Macaca mulatta: one gene and its partner. The protein of the gene in region 2 interacts with the protein of the main gene of each other region in a pairwise test. Links are inferred from orthologs where the notes say so. Each region holds a gene or a part of one and is shown on either strand. Other genes may lie near its edges. The genes, in order: CLIP4 and JAKMIP2.

Region 1 (10,172 bases), on a different chromosome or scaffold from region 2:
AAAGAAACAATTTAAATCTTCTCGCATTATTCTCAAAGTAATATTTATATAGTATTTCACAGTTCTCAGAAGAAATAATTTTCAAGATAGAAATTCTTTTTCCTCAAGTATGCACCAGGAAACAGCTGGTGATGTTTTATAAAGGATAAGAAACTAAAGCAGAAAATTACATTGGATTTTCCTTTGTTACACACCGGGGGGTGTAAAGTGAGGCCTCAAGAATCTCATGCTATTTCTTAATTCCCTAAGCTCTATTCCCTTCAAGTAAGAGAAAATATCATCTGAAAAAAGTACAATATTTTCACTGATATGTGTAATGTACTGGAATTCTTATTAGAAATCCATTTGTATTGGCAGGTTCAATAAAGGCAACTCTAATTTTTTGCTTTATTCTTCTGCTCTGTAATGCTCTATATTGTCTGTAATACAAAATCCACTTCCCCTTGCCATCAATATTAGACTTTTTATGACTATTAAAATTCATTTAAAAATTCATTTTAGGGTTTTTTTTCCCCCAAAGATACTGGATAGTAACAACCACCCCTTCACAACAAGAACTGTCAGGGGCAGCCAATGTCATTAACACTGTTGACTGAGTTTCAAGCTGAATCTCAGAAGTCATACTAGAGAAAAGAACAAAAAGCATGGCATGAAGCTGTGCATATAATCTTAATATGATTCATCTCCATGTCGGTCTGATTTGTTATGTGAAAAATGATAATTAGTTCAGTCTTCAATAAGGTAAGTCTGTCTACTTGGAATAAAGTCATGAAGGGCTGGAACTGAAAGAACTTAACCTCCCTCAGATGGACACAGGCCAAGAACACAGCACTCGGATGGTTAAACCTTCTATGCTTTAGAAATGCCTAAAATTCAAATTCAGTACAGTATCCTGTACTCAGTTAGCTTGCTGAGTTCAGTTGATCCCAATTGGATTTTATGTAGCCAGCTGAAACAACTCTGACTAAATATCTAATCCTGAGACCAAATTCCTCCTGACGCAGGAGTCTATTGGGGCTACGGTGGCAACACACTCACATATCTAGGTTCATGAGGGATTTTAGAGCCAAACTTAAACCAGATTTATGAGCATTTAAAAAATGACACCAGTGATCCTTGGGAACAGATTATGTTTTCAGCTAACAGCCTCAATTTAAACACCTGAAATATCTTTAATAATTCAGAACGCCCTGCCCCTTCTCAACCACCATGACCACTACACTTGCCCTATTTGAAAGGTATAGTAAATGATGAAATTTGCTGCTGATTTATTGTCATGAACATTCTAATCTTTGGAAGACATTCTAAAAAGATAAAAGGAAAAAGCTTCTCCTACACCTTGATGCTGCTCTCAACAGAGAGCTATAAAACAAAGTTTCATTTGACCACACATAATGAAAGGATATTAATGTCAGTAATATGTGCCCCTCTACTCGAATTCCACCATGTAGACTTCCTCTCATAAAAAGGAGCATTAGCAAAAAAGTATGATAGAACATCTTTTTGCCTAAGCAAAAGCATCATATTCCGCTTATAATACAATCTTAACATGTCCTGCAAGTTTAACTTGTTCATCCTATACATAAACTTCATCAGGAATGCTTATTTTATATTCAAACAGCATGTGACACTGTTTGTAAATAAGGCCTATGTACCAAGGGATACTAAACAAATACTAAAAATATACATGATAACGTGAGTTTTGTATTAACCACTGTATTTGTATTATAAATAAGTGTAGAGAAGGGCATGAAAAAAATAAAAAATTAATTCTTCTATTGGCTTGCAATGTGGTAATGGATATTATATGTCTCTGAGTCATTCAGTCATTTGTTATTTTGATAACAAATATCCATCTGGTAAGTAATTAAAAAAACTAGAACTATTTCTCAATTAAGAATGATTTTAACACAATAGGCTTCTAGCTATTGGTTGATGTGGTTTAAATAATATTATCACACGTTCTAAATAGGTAGCCTCAAAATAAAACTCTGAAATAAAAACATCTAACACAGGCAGGCATGGTGGATCAGGCCTGTAATCCCAGCACTTTGGCAGGCTAAGGCAGGTGGATCACCTGAGGTCTGGAGTTTGAGTCCAGCCTGGCCAACATGGGGAAACCCTGTCTCTACCAAAAATACAAAAAAAAATTAGCTGGGCATGGTGGTGGGTGCCTGTGTAATCCCAGCTACTCGGGAGGCTGAGGCAGGAGAATCGCTTGAACCCAGGAGGCAGAGGTCGCGGTGAGCCAAGATCGCACCATGGCATTCCAGCCTGGGTGACAGATCAAGACTCCGACTCAAAAAAAAAAAAATATATATATATATATATATTATATTTTTAATATATAAAATATTATATTTATATATTATATATATAAAGTATTTTATATATATATATATATAAATAAAATACTGGAGATCAACGTTATCCCCACTTGGGTATGATCCAGTTCATTCTCTCCACATTAGACCACACGTATTTCCATGTTCTGTACATTACCATCATATTAAAATAGGAATTGAAAGTCAGCACCAGGCAGAAGGGAAAGGGAGCTGACCCAGTTGGTCCTGCTGTGTCTTTCCTCCCCATTCCCTACTGCTGCACCACTCAGCATCTATTGTCTCTTACACGACACTCTTCAGGGGTAAGTTCGGGGCTCCTGGATTCAAACTTGTCCTCCTTCCTTCCATGTCTAAGAAAATTTACCTGTTCTGTGGCCTAGTCTCGCAAGGCCCCTTGTCTGAAGCTAGCTAGCTAGATAGCATATTTCCAACAATCAGTGGCCTTTACTGCCTTTGTTCACGCAACAAAACCGAGCGTCTACTAGGTATCAAGTATTATTCTAGGCGTTGGGGATAAAGTGGTGAACAAAACAGTCAAAAATCCACTCCTCAATCTAGTGAAGGAAGGAAGAAATAATAAGCAAGAAGCTGTAATCAGTAGTAAGCATGACCAAATGCTAAAGAGAAAATTAAAACATGAGAGGGGAACAAGGAGCTCTTGGGAGGAGGTGCCAGAGACTCACACCAAGATTACAACACCACGGTTCAGTCAGCAAACAGCTGTATCTCACCATTCTTACATACTTAAAAATATTCCCTCAAAGTCACCCTAAATATAAAACAAAATATAAAAACAAAGTTTAGTAAAAGGCAGTTATTTCTATTTTCTAAATTCAAAGTGTTCCATCCTACACTAAATAAACAAGTGAAATCCTAACTGTAGAAATGTATTCTTTTCTTAAATGACTCACTATTCATCAAAACAATAATAGGAGGGTGGCTATGAACATACATTGTTGAGTAGAAAGCATGATACTTTTTAATATTCTTTATAGGGATAGGACAAACCCAAGCCATTACCATGAGGAAAAAGTTCAAAGCATATGTACCCTGAGTTACTGAGAAAAAGGAGAGTTGCAAATAGGGTAAATGACAAGATAACATTCCAAAACCACACAGCTTCCCTTTTTATTGATGCTCAAGAATTGAACTTTAAATGACATTTCATAAGCAAAACACAAATGAAAACACCTAATTTGCATGTATAATATATGTAAACATACATGTTATATGGACTTAATAATCCTCATCTAAATATAAAGAGAACTGGTTCTTTGACCTCAAAAATAAATTCAACGTTGGCATTACTGTTTTTAACTTATAGTGTTTTATATTTAACAGGAAAAATTATGAATAACCAAGTTTGGTGTGGTCATGGATTTCATGTTAAGGTATAAATAGAGTTTTTAAGAAATAATCTGTATAATAAAATAAGTTTACTTTTGAATCGCAGTACAGTCATTTCCTTCAATCAATAAAAATATTCCTTGATTACAAAGCAGCCTTATTTTGCAAATGTATTTCAGGAAAATAGCTCTAGCAATATTTGAAACACCACACTATTTTAAAAAGGCAGCGAAGTGACAGAATTTAGATTTAAAATAGTATATTGCAAAATAGTTCAACATATTATTTCTAAGCACAAGGCAAGCTCCATTCTGAAGGATACTTTTTAATCTTATAAAGCAAACTGTTCCAATATTTCTGTGGTAAAGTCTAAATATTCACAATAAAAGATGAATCTTTACACAGACAGGACATTAACTTCAATATGTAACCACAATGCAAACATTTTACATTATGACATCACTCTAATATGAAGCTTAGTTTAACATGTGCTCAAGAAGAAAAATAAAAACAGTACAGTTCTGTAGCTTTGTAACAGGCTGAACTCTGCAACAATTCGAGAAATAAAAACAGCAAACCCAACACCAGTTCTATGAGTAATAAAACAAAAAAAATCCAGATATTATAAACATTTAAGTAAATAACTAATACATCCCTCCTAATATATCTTTATTTGCTCTCTTCCGTTAAATACGTTTTTTAAAATGTTTCTCATATCTCAGGAGGAAAGGACGGTAAATTCTTCACAAAGATAAAAGTGCATCATGTTTTAAAAGTGCTTCGTGTTTATGTGTTACAAACATATCCAATAAGGAAGTTAAGTAAGTTTGTGCAAAAAAATCTAATTACCACTTGAATTCATAAACCTTAATCATGGGTTTTTGTAGTTCATCCAGATGAAGCAGTCAAGCAGCAGAAGAAAAATCTGAGATTAGACATTTTGTATAGAGGAAAGAGCACTGGGCCACAAGTGAGGAGACCCACATTCTACTCTTAGCTCAGTTAACCAACCAGTTAGTGACCCCAGGTAAGACGGGCTTCCACTTCCGTATTTGGCAATGGACAAGAAGCAGAGCTGCAGAGGCTCTGAGGCCCCTTCCAACCCCAAAATTATCATGTATCTTTAGACGAGGCATTTCTGAAAGGGCAAATAATTTTACCAAAATATAAAAATACATACTAGTCATCTAGTTACTATTCACTTATTGGACTTATTAGTAATAAAGCACAGAAAGAAAGAAAAATTCCAAAAATGCTTGACCAAAAAAAAGGTCATGTGAACATTATTCGTAACCAAAGCTAGAGAAACCCTTCGCAATTATGGCGCTAAGAAAAATCCAATAGGTTTGTGCAAAACAAAAACAGAATAAGCAAAGAAATGCAACAGCTGGTCACCTGATGGCACTTTTTCTTCCTGAGTCCCAGAATTTTCTTGGGACCTAAAGCTTTAATCGGTACTTATTTTGAAAATTGCTTTAAAAGAACCATGATTCCCCAGAGTTCATATTCATGGCTTTGTAAAGAACTCTCTCTGAATTGTTATAATGGTTTTTAAGAAGATAACTATATTTTCAAAATTTAAATATGGCTAAATAAAGTAAACCATTTACCATGGACTCTTTATTTACACCAAATATATATATATATATTTATATATATATATTCGAATATATATATTCGAGCTTATTTAATATATTAGAAGCTTAACTCAACAATTCTCATCCACAAGCTTGGACCCATTAATTCCCCGATAGGTCACTCTACTCGGTCGAACTAAGACTCCATGGTTCGGCTTACAGGTGAAATAGCGCTTGTCGCCCACTGACCCATCATTTTTTCCCTTAGCGCTTCGGAGCTCAAGTCCAAGCCAGATACCTGAAGCAAAGTCAGCGGGGCCCACGTACCTAACAGTACCCATCTCGTTAGAGCTCGTGAGCAGGACCTGAGACCCCTCGTGCAGCTTCACGCTCCCTTCAATGCCGCCTGCAGGGGGAGTGCTGCTCCAACTGCGACGCAAAGCAGCTTTCGATCTGTGCGGAAGGGAAAAGTGGGGAAAATTCTTTAGTGCTGAAGATTACTGTGATTTTCACATAAAGAATGACGACAGCCATCATTTCCTGATATCATTTCCACTGCCAGATGCAGAATTCATTCATTCAGTTCCCAAAAGAGAATACTTTATGGTCACAACTTGATTTTCAAATTTTAAATAGCAGTTTTAGAATATGCAGTTGACCCATGAACTACACAGGTTTGAAGTATGTGGGTCCGCGCATACACGGAGTTTCTTCTGCCTCCGCCACCCGGGACAGCAAGACCAACCCCTTCTCTTCCTCCTCCTCCTCAGGCTGCACAAAGTGAGGAGAATGAAGATGAAGATCTTTATGATGATCTGCTTCTACTTAAGGTATAGTAAATATATTTTCCTTATGACTTTAACATTTTTTTACTTTATTGTAAGAATACAGTACATACTACATGTAACTTACAAAATATGTATTAATCAGCTCTTTATGTTATAGGTAAGGCTTCCAGTCAACAGTAGGCTATCAGTAGTTAAGTTCTGGGAGAGTCAAAAGATATACACTGATTTTCAACTGTGCAGGCAAGCAGGGGATGGCACTCCTAATGCCCGCACTCATTACTCAAAGTTCAACTGTACTTTTGTTTAACATTTTAAAAGTTTTTGTCTTTGCGCTATTTTAAGACTACCCTATTCTGGATTTAAGATTTCATTTGCCATATATATGTGTGTGTGTGTGTGTACACATATATATGTGTATGTACACACACATACACATATATATGCTTTCAGTAAAATAGCAATTAGAAAAAATACACTTATACCTAATTAATTTCTACCAGTATTATCAAATAAAGCAAAAAGAAAGAATCTAGTATTTTGGCTGTTTTAATTGCTATCAATATTATCAAATAAAGCAAAAAGAAAAGAATCTAGTATTTTGACAGTGTAGTAAATTTATTTTTTGTTCACTCGAAAAAAATATTTTTTCATATGAAAACAAATTTCAAAAACTGTAAATCTACAACTTTGGAAATATCTATACATATATGCACATATGTTCTATGTATAAACTCCAGTTACAGTTAAAAGTTTAGCACCCTCCCAGCCACTAACACTAATGAGGGTCTGAGGTGCCTGGAGCAGCTGCCTCTCCTTCTCCCTACAACATAACATTCCTTACAATGTGCTAGAACGTCTCCTAGCACTCACCACCACCACAACCTGATAATGAGGCATGGGACTCCCCAGTGCACTCACCCAAGGCCTCAAGGCCATATTGCCCCAGAGCTGCCTGCACTGTCCACTGGAAGTAACTGACCCTGATATTCACCCACAACAGAAACATGACCAGAGTCTTGTTGCCCCCTGGGCTGAGACCTTCCAAAACGGCAAGAAACCACCAAAACTACCTGGAGCCTTCCATCCTCTATCCCATGCCACCCCCCTCCAAAAGAAACCCTTCTCCCTACCCCACAGGAGATTCAACACAGAACCTGTTACTAAAACTACACAGGAGCTTGTTGTGAACAGAATCTGGGTCTTATTTCATATTTCATTTCATTTTCTATATTTTTAATACACTGTCACATACAATGTTTCATTTGCTCCTATTAACCACCCTGCAACAAAGGAAGATGACTAATTTTAATGGATAGGAAAACTGAGGCTCAGAGATTTATTCTAAGCCACATCTGCAAGTACGTGATAGAATTCTAATTAGAAAACAGTCTTAAATTATTCACATGTCAAATGCACAAATAATAAATTTACTGAAGAAACATGTAATACCTGTAAGAAAAAGCATAAATCTTTACTGAAGAACACACATGGAGGAGCTCTGTTACTAAACAGAAATGTATATAGGTTAATCCTCCCCAAATGGATATTTTTTGTAACCTGACAAAATTACTGTAATTTTCACAGGAATAATGACAATAGCTATCACTTCCTGAACACTTAGTAGGTACCTAACACTTCACATACGTTATTTCTTTTGATCTCACCCAAACCAGTGAAGAGGGGATTATTACACCTCCTTATAACGGAAGAAGAATCTGAGGCTCAAAAAAATTAAGCTATGTGCCTAAGGTCAGAGAGATGAAAAGAGCAAAGACGAGGCTCAGATCCATGGCTGCATAAGCACAAAGGCCAGGCTCTCTTCACAAACAGAATGGGTACTGGTAATTAAGAAAAGGTTGAAAAATAATGAGGCAAGGTTTACGCTGCCATTAGGTTAAATTATAAAGTTAAAACAGTTAAAATAATGTGGCTCTGGCATAAGAATGTAGTTTTAAATGACACAGAAAACATATTTTAGAAAAATGAAACACACACATAATTATTTTACATGTGATTAAAAAGTAAAACTTCAAAGCAGTGAAAAAGGAGTGAACATGGAATTAGAAGTGCTGTAAAAATTAGCTGAGACAAAGGCTATGATTCTCACCACTCCTCCACATTAAAATTAACTGCAAATAAAGACCTTTAATGCATGAACTGAAAACAGAGCCAGGCACAGCAGCTCACGCCTATAATCCCAGCACTGTGGGAGGCTGAGGCAGTCAGATCACTTAAGGCCAGGAGTTTCAGACCAGCCTGGTCAACATGGTGAAACCCTGGCTGTACAAAAAATATAAAACTTAGAGGGGCACAGTGGCAGGCGCCTGTAATCCCAGCTACTCAAGAGGCTGAGGCACGAGAATCACTTCAACTCAGGAGGCAGAGGTTTCAGTGAACTGAGATAGTGCCACTGCTCTCCAGCCTGGGTGACAGAGTAAGACTCATCAAATAAATACATAAATATTGAAAAACACCCTCACATACATATATGTAGAGAAAGAGACAGGAAGTATTGGGGAAGGTGCAAGGAAGGGGAGAGTTCAATACATGTTTTACAAGTCTGGCATCTATTACAAATTAAATTCTGATTTTTTTCATTTATTATTGTGAATAAGTTTTTGTAGCCTGACAAAATTACTGTAATTTTCACATGAATAATGACAACAGCTATCACTTCCTGAACACTCAGTAGGTACCTAACACTTCACATACGTTATCTCTTTTGATCTCACCCAAACCAGTGAAGAGGGGATTATTACCTCCTTATAACGGAAGAAGAATCTGAGGCTCAAAAAAATTAATGGAAAAAAAACATAAAAATGTTTTCATATCACGGCACAGTCTTTAAAAACATTGCTAAAGTAACGCGGAAGGAAGCTATTAAAGAATATGGGAATATGAGCATGACATACAGGGGGAAAGCTTTGAAATGGGTATATGGAATATGATTCATTTCCCATTGCTTAAAAATTCAGACACATGGTCGGGCACGGTGGTGCACACTGTAATCCTAGAATTTTGGGAGGCCGAGGCAGGTGGATCACCTGAGGTCAGGAATTCGAGACCAGCCTGGCTAACATGGTGAAACCCCGTTTCTACTAAAAATACAAAAAATTAGCTGGGCATGGTGGTACGGGCCTGTAATCCCAGCTACTCGGGAGGCTGAGGCAGGAGAATCACTTGAACCCAGGAGGCGGAGGTTGCAGTGACCAAGATCACACCATTGCACTCCAGCTGGGGCGACAAGAGTGAAACTCCCTCTCAAAAAAAAAAAAAAAAAAAAAAAAAAAAAATCAGACACATGCATTAGGAAAACAATTGGAAAAGTATATACCAAATGCTAACAGTGATAATCTCATCTAGATATCAACATTACAGATGACCTTTTTACATTTGGTTTTTCTTAATTTTTCAAATATTATACAACTTTCGTAATCAAAAAAGCTTTTAAACAAACAAGCAAATAATGGATTCAGCATCTAAACCAAAAATTAATGGCTTGGGTAAACACTTCACATTCTAATAAGAATGATTTATCTGATTCAAGGTATGTCAAAGCTCAAAAGCCAGAGAATTGAGACACTGAGAATTGCGGTATGTTTGAGAGCTCCGTTTACTCATTCAAAAACATGTATTGGCCACCTATGAAATGGCAGGCATGGGGCTACGCTCTAGGTATCTGTACAGAACAGTCAGTAAAATGTTACAAATATGGTAATAAAGACTGTATACAGCACGGAAGAGGAAGGCGTTTCTCCTCCCTTAAAGCCTCAGGAAAGACACGTTAGTGGGGAAATGGCATTTCTGCCAGCTTGAAAGATAAGCACACAGAAAAGGAAATGCAGAGATTGTCGTCTGAGAAAAATATATATATTACTTTCTTTTGTTTTTTGAAACAGAATCTTGCTGTCACCCAGGCTGGAGTGCAGTGGAGCAATCTAGGCTCACTGCAACCTCCACCCCCCAGGTTCAAGTGATCTGCCTCAGCATCCCAAGTAGCTGGGACTACAGGTGCCTGCCACCATGCCCAGCTAATTTTTGTACTTTTCTTTTCTTTTCTTTTTTTTTTTTTTTTTGAGACGGAGTCTTGCTCTGTTGCCAGGATAGAGGGCAGT
Region 2 (11,002 bases):
GGCTTTGAGCCAGAAGCTCTGAGCTAAGCCACTCCCAGATTTCTGCCCTGCAAACACTATGAGATAATAAATGATGTTTCAAGGTGCAAACAAATCCCACAGAACAATAATTCAGTGAGGTAGGTATTGCTATCATGTCCTACAGATAAAGAAACTGAGCCATGGAGAAATACAGCAACTTGTCCAAGGTCACTCAGAAAAGAAATGGTAAAGCCTGTACTCAATCCAGGAAGTCTGTCCCCAGAGCCCACACTTTGCAGCTTTCTCCCATTATGCTGTGGTATCTCCTGAAATTTTAATGCCACTTTTGGAGCCAACACCCATACCCTGTACTTTTTCAGACATCTCACGGAATTCAGAAGTCAAAGTTGGAAAAGTCCCAGGAGAGACAGACAGTTTGGTCACAATTAGTACTATTGACCAAGAAGCTCTTAGAGGAAAATCAGTGTTGCCCAAAGAACACCATGCCTACCCACTGAGGACATGTTAGATGACTTTGAACATACGTGAACAAACATTTTTACTTTCATAACTGTGTAGTTTTAAAATCTGTGCCAGATAAACATTACGTTAACATGCATGTGTGCTAAATAAGGTAATTAGCATAATTATCTAAGTAATTAGAGAAATACCAACAATATATCTGAACAAACGATACTATATGTATTATTATATAATTATATGTATAAATGATAGAGCCATGATTCAACGCAGAAAGTTATTCTTTCATTTATTTACTGGTTTATTCTTCAACAAATATTTATCGAGCACCTAATAGGGCCCAGACACCACTCACAAACAAACATGGAAATAAAAATCCCTGCCCTCTCATAGTTTATGTTCTGATAGGGAGAAACAGATAAAGAAATTTAATAGCACCAAAAAAACAGTATATCACTAATATATAATATAGTACACATTATAGTATAGCATACTACATTAAGCAATGTTATAATATACTGTATTATATTATCATAGAATATATTATTAATGTTAATTTTCTATACAGTTATATAGAAAAATAGAGCATGGTAAGAGAGGGGATGGTAATAGAGAGGTGTGAGTTTTAATCTTTCTTTTTAAATTAAAAATTATTATAAATAAAGCTGAAGTCTTTGTTTTACTAAAAAATTTAAGAATTTGTTTTCATTTCCTTCCCATGGGTCCATTATCTTTACCATAACAATTTTCATTTATGTTTTGCTGAAGTCACAGAAACATTTCATTTAAAAATGAATAAATGGCAAATCAAGTAAATCATAATTAAAATAAATAAGGGAAAACTATCAATAAATAATGATAACAGTGCTGCCTGGATATGACCAAAAACAAACGAGTAAGTTGTATTTGAATGGTTAAATTGGAGATTTCTTCAAATAGGAAACACCAAACTTTTCTCTCACCAGTTGACCCTTGACCAATTGTTTTATGTTGATGGGAGGAGTGGAAAAAACTAGAATCACTTACCCCTAGCCATTTAGCTCCTAGCACTAAGGATGAACCATATGGTTATAGTTTATTAACTATAACCATAGTTAATAAAATTAACTATTTAATTAACTAGACAGTGTGGAGGGTTCTGTCATCTAGTATGTCACAACTTCTACAGCCTTCAGCTCCCTGGTCTGCTTGCTTACAAGACCATCTCTGCGGAGAAAGCAGAAGATAAAATACAGGAACACTGAAAGAAGAGAGATGATCACATCCCATTCCTTTATGTTACACGTTACGCATAGGTGATGCTGACTTGGAAGTGTTTGCAGGTTGTGTGGCCGCCGAGGCTTTGACAGAAGACAGGGGACACTAGCTGCACAAAGGAGGTCGCAGGCTTTCCCACCAAGTGGATGGAAAGCCAGTGTCAAATGCTGGGGAAGTGCTGCAACTCTTTCCCTCATCACCTAGTTATCTTCAAGCCGGTTTTATTAGAAGAAGCCCCTGACATCAAGAATGACACTATGCAGGAAAAAGTCTTCTCACGTTTTAATATTAGTTACTTACAAATGAGTAACAACTAACCGTAGCTACATCTATTGAACATTTCCTATCTGCTAAACACTGCACATTTTACACACATCATCTAGTTTAATTTTTGTAATGACTCATGAGGTTCTGTGATTATTTCTTTTTACAGATGAAGAAATGTAGATTTGAGGAAGTTAATAAATACGTTCCAAATTATACCTATAGTAAATACTGGCACTAGGAATGGTGCCTAGGTCGTCTGACTCTGGAACTTGTGTTAATTCCATTTGAACCTGTAAATAACTCTGTGGATTAAGAACAAAGATTATTTCCATTTTATGGAGGAGTGGCAGAAACGTGTAGTGGTTAGGAGAGCAAATGTAAGTGTTAGAAGAGCCCATTTTGGGGAGGCCAAGACGGGCGGATCACGAGGTCAGGAGATCGAGACCATCCTGGCTAACACGGTGAAACCCCGTCTCTACTAAAAAATACAAAAAACAAAACAAAACAAAACAAAACAAAAAAAACTAGCCGGGCGAGGTGGCGGGCCCCTGTAGTCCCAGCTACTCCGGAGACTGAGGCAGGAGAATGGCGTGAACCCGGGAGGCGGAGCTTACAGTGAGCTGAGATCGCGCCACTGGACTCCAGCCTGGGCGACAGAGCGAGACTCCGTCTCAAAAAAAAAAAAAAAAAAAAAAAAAAAAAAAAAAAAAAAAAAAAAAAAAAGAATTCATTTTGATTCTGGCTCTGTCGTTTATCAGTTGTGAATTTGGGAAATGTATCTAACTCCTCTGAGATTTACAATGTCCTCAAATATCAAGATGTAGAGAACACTTAATCTCTTAGGGCCTCTCTGTCTTTGCCATCATCATCATGGTTATTACATATTTTGGGTTTTCTCACCTTAATTTTTTCTCCTACCTGAAATTGCCATGTTATTCCCCTTAAACCCTTAGATTAAGAGGTGGCTACAATGTACTACTATGCCGTTAATAGTAAATATTTATTGTACACTTACTACATGCCAAGAGCTTTTAGCGCATTATCTCATTCAATCTTTACAACCCCTGCACGAGATAAATACGGGTGTCATCTATAATTATGGTTAGAAACAGAATTCGCCTACAACTGGACATTGCTGACCTCACTTCCCCTTTTCCTGCCCACCACCCTGACTGCCAACTGACTTCGGAACTCCAAAGGGGCATCCATGAAAACGACAGGAATTGCCTGCAGGAAAATGAATGCTCTAGGAGTTTGACTCTAAAAAGATTGGGAACTGTCCACCAACTGGTGCTACTGAGAATAGTGGTTGTTGAAAGGAATTTCGGTCTCTATCCCAACTTACTTTTCCTCAGGGAAGCGTCAATTTCCTCCAAGTCCTCTTCAGAAGGGTAGCTGGAAAAACAGTGAAACCAAGTAACTTACCTGAGAACAAGCCGGGAGTAGTGCAAAGGAATCAACCAGATTCTTAACCTATTACAAAGTCCAGGCACTCCGTTTGCTTTCTAATAACCTTGTTGCCTGGTATTGAGTAAAAGATGCTATAAAGCACGAACACGTTTGGAAGTAATAATAATCTGCTGTTATGCGACATAATTTTCTCCATATTTGTTATTATTTTTCTGATAATAAATTTCATACATTTTATTGGAAAACCACAGAAAATGCAAAAAATAGCTAAGCTGTTACGTATGTTTCGATCTAAATTTCAATTAAATTTTAATTATTCTCTCCCCGTGCCTAACCACCCTTACCCCATTTTTTAAAAGACCTGGAGTCCAGGGTAGGAGAGATCAAGAGCGTCCCAGAGGGCAGCAGCACAAATTCTCTCTCCCCTCCAGACCCTGCAGCTTGCTTCGCCCATCTCCCCTCCCGCTTAGCTTGGTCGCTTATCATTGGTCATTGCCATGGCAACCAGCAGCTGCCGGGCCGGCAGCCTCTACCGCAGCAGGGGTGGGGCACTGGGGGAGGGGGAGAGAGAGAGGAGGAGCCAAAGGAGGTGTCTGCTGCAAGTTCCTGGCTGCTTCCGAGCTCACCCCATCCTCCGAGAGGGAGGAGGCCCAACTGGTGATGCTGCTGCTGCTGCCGCCGCCGCCGCCTCTATTGCTGATACTTTAGCGGGGCTGGAAGGGTGGTTCCTATTCGCACCATCGCCAACCAGAGACAGAGGGGGAAAAAAAAAAAACCGGCAGCCGCTGCTGATGTTGGGTTCGGAGGCTGCATCCGACTCGGTCACAAGGAAAATGGATTCAGTTTGCATCTCTCCCTCCTTTAAACAGCTTCTCCGGGTCTCAGCATGGTGAGTAGGAAACAGTAGGGCTCCCTTCTTGGTTTAGCGTGTTATTATTTGACCTATGTATACATTTCTGGCCTGAACTTGAACAATGACTCCCGTGCCACAGACTAGAAGGGGGAGATGTGGAGACAGAGATGAGGATGGAGGGAGAGGAACGTTGCCAGGAAGAGAGAAGTGAGAAGGCAACCGCTTGTGTTTAAAAAAAAAAAAAAAAAAAAAAAAGGTGTTCTGATTTTATCTCTAACTGGCTCAGAATGCAGACTGAGCCACTTGGTGCCTTTTTCTCCTAAGCTTAGCAACAGCATCAGGGGTTGGAAAAAGAGCTAACAACAAGAAGAGGGTGTTATTGAAAGGAATCATTTCATTTGCAGCTCTCACATACAGGGTTGGGCCTTCTTCAGAAATACATTTGGTGTCTCATAAGCTTCTCAGACTCATTATAAGGTGGTTTTGCTTATTTTATTGATTGCTTAGAAAAAGTGGCCCCAGAATTTGACATTTTATTTTGTACTCTTGTTGAGAAATCATTTGCAAGACCCAGTTTTATTTTATACGTAGATTTGATTGTGAACTTACACATGTATATCTTATGGATATATATATCATATATACACATGTTACTTAGCATTTATATTGCATTTATGAAGCATATTTATATGTAGGGTGTGCTTTGCAGTCATTTTTATGGTTTAGATATGTCCTTGCATTCCTGGAAGTACTTGCATGTTTTTGAAACTATGCTTCTGGTTTATATTATTATTCATTGGCTTTATTTGGATTAATGTGAAATTTACTCTGGTTATTGTCTCTTAGTTTCATTGTGACCAATTGGAACAGATGCCTATGATTTGATCTGTGTCACAGAACTAGATGCAAATTCGTAGCCTGCCTCTTTATTTTTAATTGGGTTTGTGGGGGATGATATTGAGGACTCCGAATTTACAATGATGGGAAAGGGAGGTGGCTTGTGGTATTATTTTGTATCTAGCATCTTACCAAATCAATGTTGAAGCAAATCAGTTTTCTTGAAATGCCACCCCAACCTTTTCATGTTTGTGCCTTGTATCCCAGGAAGCACAGCTGAGCTGGCAGGTGAAATGCATTCATTTTATTTAATAGTGCTGCTATCTGCTGTTCATTCCTTCAGTATCCAGGAACCATTTTACAGTTCTCTCAAATGTTGTATTAAGGGTCTCCTTCTGTAAATAAGAACGTAGGATTGTTTTGAAAATCTAGGTATTCCTAAGCACCCTAGCCCAGCCGTTTCCAAATTAGTCTGCTTATACAATGAAATGAAACCAGGGAGTGAGCAAAGCTGAACAGGAGAATGTGTGGCTTGTAGCTGAATTGGGCTGGGGGGGGGGGATGTGTGGGGGGGGTGGGCTATTGTAATTTACAAATGCTTACTGGGATCTGCTTGACCTTTTATTATGTCAAGGTTTTAAGGCAGCTCAGGAGACTAAAGATCCCTGAGATGAGGAGGTTCCATTCCCACTCAGGATAATGGATTTCATTGAATTAAAGCCAGAAAAAAATATGTAGGTAGAGTGTATTAGTAGTATTACATTTACCACATGGGCTATTATAGTTTTATCCATTAGTCTCTTCTCTAACAATATCAGTGTCAGTACAGACATTTTTTACAATGTAAAATGACAATTATTTGGGGCTTTAGTCTGGCATCTGATTCTACATACTCCCCCCACATTTATAATTTTCACATGTATTTGAATCGGGTTTATAGTTTAATTTGTCTGAGAATAATTGTTCTATTTGGCTTATACATGAGAAGGGCCCTTGGGGACTTAATTGTGCATGTCCTCATAGCATGTCATATATTATAGATCCACAGCTTTGTAAACTCATGCTACTTTGTGCCTAATTGTAACAACTATATGAAATAGGGCAAGAAAAGAGGTACTGGGCTTGTATGTTATAACAAATTGTATAACACATTGTATCCTGAATCTTTTAGTGATAACACTTGACTTCCAAAAATCAAAATGTTAGATATGTCTATTGTACACTTAAAAAATTAAGATTTGTAAAATTAAGATTTGTTGACCCCATTTCATGCAATGAAAGCAGATATCCTGTGGCTTTGTTTTTGTTTCTTTCTTGTTGAGTTTTCGTTTGGAGGTGGTTTTATAGGCAAAGTTGGTACAGTTTGAACAGAGGCAAATCCCTTAGGTCATGTGCTTAAAACTCCTTGTAGATAGCCTGTTTCAGCTATGTGTCTGCTGTTACCCTGATAGAAATACAGGTCTAGCTTTTGACCCCAGTCTTTAAGACAACTATATGACCTTTGCTAAGGGGCCGCTGAAAAGTGAAGTGTGTTTCAAGCACTAGAAGTTGAACTCTCTGCGGAAAGATTTTTAAAAGCTAGGATTCGTATGTAACAAATCTGCATGTTGTGCACATGTACCCTAGAACATAAAGTGTAATAAATAAATAAATAAATAAATAAATAAGCTAGGATTATTTCATTTGGAGAAGAGAACAATGAAATACGACAATCATTTGTTTCAGATAAGCTGAGCATGGGGCATAAGCATAGGACATTGCTTATTGCTATTTTTTGAAACTTCAAATGTGGTCAATGGGCTTCAACTTTATGAGGAATTATGAAGATTAGAAATATAAAAATGTAGAAGTTCCTCATAGTAAGTGTGAGTAGTCAACTGGCTAATCAAATAAAGCAATGTACTCTTCTCTCATCAAAACTGCCAAAAGTATGACCTAGATATGCTTTTGTCTAGGATGGACTAGATTTCCTTCTCAAGAACTTCTCTTGCTTTTTCTAGAGTGAGTCATTTATTTAAGAGAGTACATTAGTTGTTTAAGATCAGGCACTTCTAGATTATAACAGTAAGACTCCATTTTGTAGTTGGCTTCTAAATTACAGGATCTAGGTATTTGTAAAGAAATCAACTGATCATCTTCCTAGAGAAATTTACATGTAATCCTGCCAGAATTCAGGAAACTGAACATTTACCTGTTCATAAGAGCCCTTCTTTCTCAGCAACTTTATGGAGTGTGATGTCAAATACCTATATTAAAATTATCTCATATTGTATAGTTAATTTTGAAAAATGTAATGTGTCATTTAATGGGGTCTTTATACAAAATAATTCAAGAGCCATCAAGTTGTTTTTTTAAAAAAACAAATTATATGAAAGATATATACAAATTAATGCTTAAATGTGCTATTTAACAAACTAATCTTCCACTCAAACACTATCTTAAAAATGTCATTCATGTTAGAATATTAAAGTTAAATATTTTGATTGGTATGTAAGACTTTAGTAAAACTTGTTTTAATTAAGACACACACTAATTAATTTCTCACTTTGTAATAGGACGTTTCTCATTTCGGGTGACATCAGAACATGTTTTGATTTTATGTACCTGCTGCAAGTCGGCTTCAGGATGACTTAGACAATATTTGCAGAGTGAAACAGTTTTTTACATTTCTTTTTGGTTCATGAAAAGTCAATACTTTGTTTCTCATGGTTGGAGCTTATTGTGGAAGTTTTAACATAAATAACGCAATGATGGTCTTTTACTGAAAGAAATACGTTAGGTTTATACTTGGTTGTTACTCTGTGAAGTGTGTTACAATTCCCTCTGTTTACACATTCCACTATTTTTCTATCAAGGGAAAATGTGCTTTCAAACAGGATAAATTAATCAATTGACTAACAACTATTTGTAGAGCTTTCATATGACTAGCAGAATTTGCATGTGCTAGCAAAAAAGAATTTCCTTGGAGAATATAAGATATACATCCATGAAACAGTTAGTGTTGAAAACAATATAGTTGTAATTAGTACCATCACTTCACCATATATTAATACAAGTTTTCATAATTCTGTCATTTTTCCATTCTTTTTCATTTTATATTCTATCAATTTCAATTTATATGCTATCATTTCAATTCTATCATATCAGCAAAGCTAGTGTCATAGTAATTCTTTAAAATAAGTGGAAACAGATTCAAGGAGGTTAGACTTGTCCAAATTTGTGTTTGGTAAATGGTGTAACAGGCTGGATCCCTAGTCTCATAAGTACAAACTACTATAGTAGAAAGGTAGCGAATTATCTTACCAACATGAATTTTAACTAATCTGTGTTGTGTGGCTCATTTTATTTGAATATTTCAGGTACCAAAATTTGTTCTTTGGACATATCAAATTGCCAAATACACTATGTGCGTAGGGTATCAGGCAAACAAACAAAAAATGAAAACAAAACAAAACAAAACGGCTCACACACACAAAAAGAGTACTTTAGAGAAAATCTAGGCTTTTTGATATATCAGAAAAACCTAGAAGCATTTGTTTGGGTGAAAATCAGAACTTTATTGGACTGCTATGCATTTATTTTATAAATAAATATTGTTTTTATTTTTAATGACGTAGAGTTTGGGAGGTGACCATTGTTTTCTGTGTTTAGGATCAGATTAAAATTCCTGTAGGTCCTGAATCTTGAAAAAATTATGCCACCTCCCACCTATATGTCCTAATTATCTCTCTACCTACACATTCTTAAAAGTAAAAATGATGTTGTTATAAAATAAGTGTACATGGCCGGGCGCGGTGGCTCAAGCCTGTAATCCCAGCACTTTGGGAGGCCGAGACGGGCGGATCACGAGGTCAGGAGATCGAGACCATCCTGGCTAACACGGTGAAACCCCGTCTCTACTAAAAAATACAAAAAACTAGCCGGGCGAGGTGGCGGGCGCCTGTAGTCCCAGCTACTCCGGAGGCTGAGGCAGGAGAATGGCGTAAACCCGGGAGGCGGAGCTTGCAGTGAGCAGAGATCGCGCCACTGCACTCCAGCCTGGGTGACAGAGCCAGACTCCGTCTCAAAAAAAAAAAAATAAGTGTACATCAGTTCAACAACTTTCTGGTATTTTCTCTGAACAAATGCTCCTACATTTTTCTGAAATATAAAAAATATTTATTTGTTTTTCAAATATTCTAATTTTCTGGTGTATCTTTTTCTTTATTAATTCCCTAGGCACATACTGGTATAAGTATTTGGTAATTCAGCTCTGGCCAAATAGCAAATTATGACATTGAACCATATTCTACATTTGGAAAAAGAGTCCTTTATAATTAATTAACTTGCAGTAAAAATGAGACCTGTCACACTAAAAAAATTGTTCTTTAAATAATTATTCATTACCACAAGTAAATTTTGTTGCTTCAAGTTTTTTTATATTTAAAAATAATACATCCTCATTATGGAAAAATGATAATACAGAAATGTGTAAAAGGAAGATGAGAACGACTCATAAGCCTACCATCAATAAATCATTACTGTTAGCATTCTGGAGTATTTCCTTTTAGATCTTTTTGTATATACACACAGAAACACATGCAGACACACAGTTTCATAAATGGATCATACTCTATGCATTGTTTTAAATTGCTTTTGCTTTATGTATAGTGGCCATCTATCCATGTCAACTAATGTGTCTCTACTGAATTTTAAATTTCCGCGTGCATTTTTCTTGATGATTCAAGCTGTTTTTTCCCCCACTTGGGAGTCTTCACACTTTACTTTTAAATACTTCTTATGATGCAGATAGATCCTGCTTGATTTAAAGCAGTCATGAGTCAGGCATTATATTCAGGAAATATGAACTCTGTTACCCTGACCTGCCACTGCATCTTACAATTGGTATTAAATTAACCTTGGTCATTCCTTGTCTGCTAATAATGAATGAAGTCTGAATCCAAGGCAGTGAAATCCCTGTTTGAGGCACGAGGAGTTTCACCAGGTACATGCATCAGCAACAATTAAAAAACAAAAACAAAAACACATCTGTTTCAGATTCATGTTAGTTTTCCCCAGTGTTATAGTTGTATGTCCTGTAGTTTTATTTTTTAATTTTTAATTTATTATTATTATTATGATTTTGGAGATAGGGTCTCACTCTGTTGCCCAGGCTGGAATGCAGTGGCATGGTCTTGGCTCACTGCAACCTCCACCTCCCGGATTCAAGTGATTCTTGCGCCTTAGTCTCCTGAGTAGCTGGAACTACAGGTGCACACCACCATGCCTGGCAAATTTTTGTATTTTTAGTAGAGATGAGGTTTTACCATGTTGGCCAGGCTGGTCTTAAACTCCTGACCTCAAGTGATCTGCCTGCCTGGGCTTCCCAAAGTTCTGGAATTACAGGCATGAGCCACCATGCTCGGCCTGTCCTGTGGTTTTAACCTTGGTTAAGCAACTCAAATCCTTTATGGGAAGATATTTAAATGACTTCTTGGAATAAACCAAGTGTATTAGTTCATTCTCACACTACTATAAGGACATACCCAAGACAAGTAATGTATAAAGGAAAGAGATTTAATTGACTCACAGTTCTACAGGGCTGGGGAGGCCTCAGGAAACTTACATCATGGCAGAAGAGAAAGCAAACATGTCCTTCTTCACATGGTGGCAGGAGGGAGAAGAATGAGAGCTGAGTGAAGGGGGAAGGCCTTTATAAAACCATCAGCTCTCGTGAGAACTTACTCACTATCATGAGAATAGAATGGGGAAAGCCACACCCAAGGCCCAATTATCTCCTTCTGGGTCCCTCCCACAACATGTCGGGATTATGGGAACTACAATTCAGGATGAGATTTGGGTGGGGACACAGCCAAACCATATCACCAAGATGTAGTTTTGCAATTTTTTTCACTATATTCATTATTTCATAATGAATTCATGTATATCATAGTTTTC

What was found.
Region 1: the proteins of JAKMIP2 (region 2) and CLIP4 interact in binary tests that used the Homo sapiens proteins (3 or more experiments, as listed by UniProt). The two-hybrid records come from large-scale screens. The link is inferred for Macaca mulatta from reciprocal best matches to the Homo sapiens genes JAKMIP2 and CLIP4.

What each region holds. Positions count from the first base shown.
Region 1 is NC_133418.1:95,786,317-95,796,488, forward strand, and holds the end of CLIP4 (CAP-Gly domain-containing linker protein 4), read right to left. Parts: intron 5,723-10,172; coding exon 5,401-5,722; 3' UTR 3,449-5,400; downstream 1-3,448.
Region 2 is NC_133411.1:156,659,536-156,670,537, reverse strand, and holds the start of JAKMIP2 (janus kinase and microtubule-interacting protein 2), read left to right. Parts: upstream 1-4,139; 5' UTR 4,140-4,261; coding exon of another isoform or gene 4,262-4,264; intron 4,265-11,002.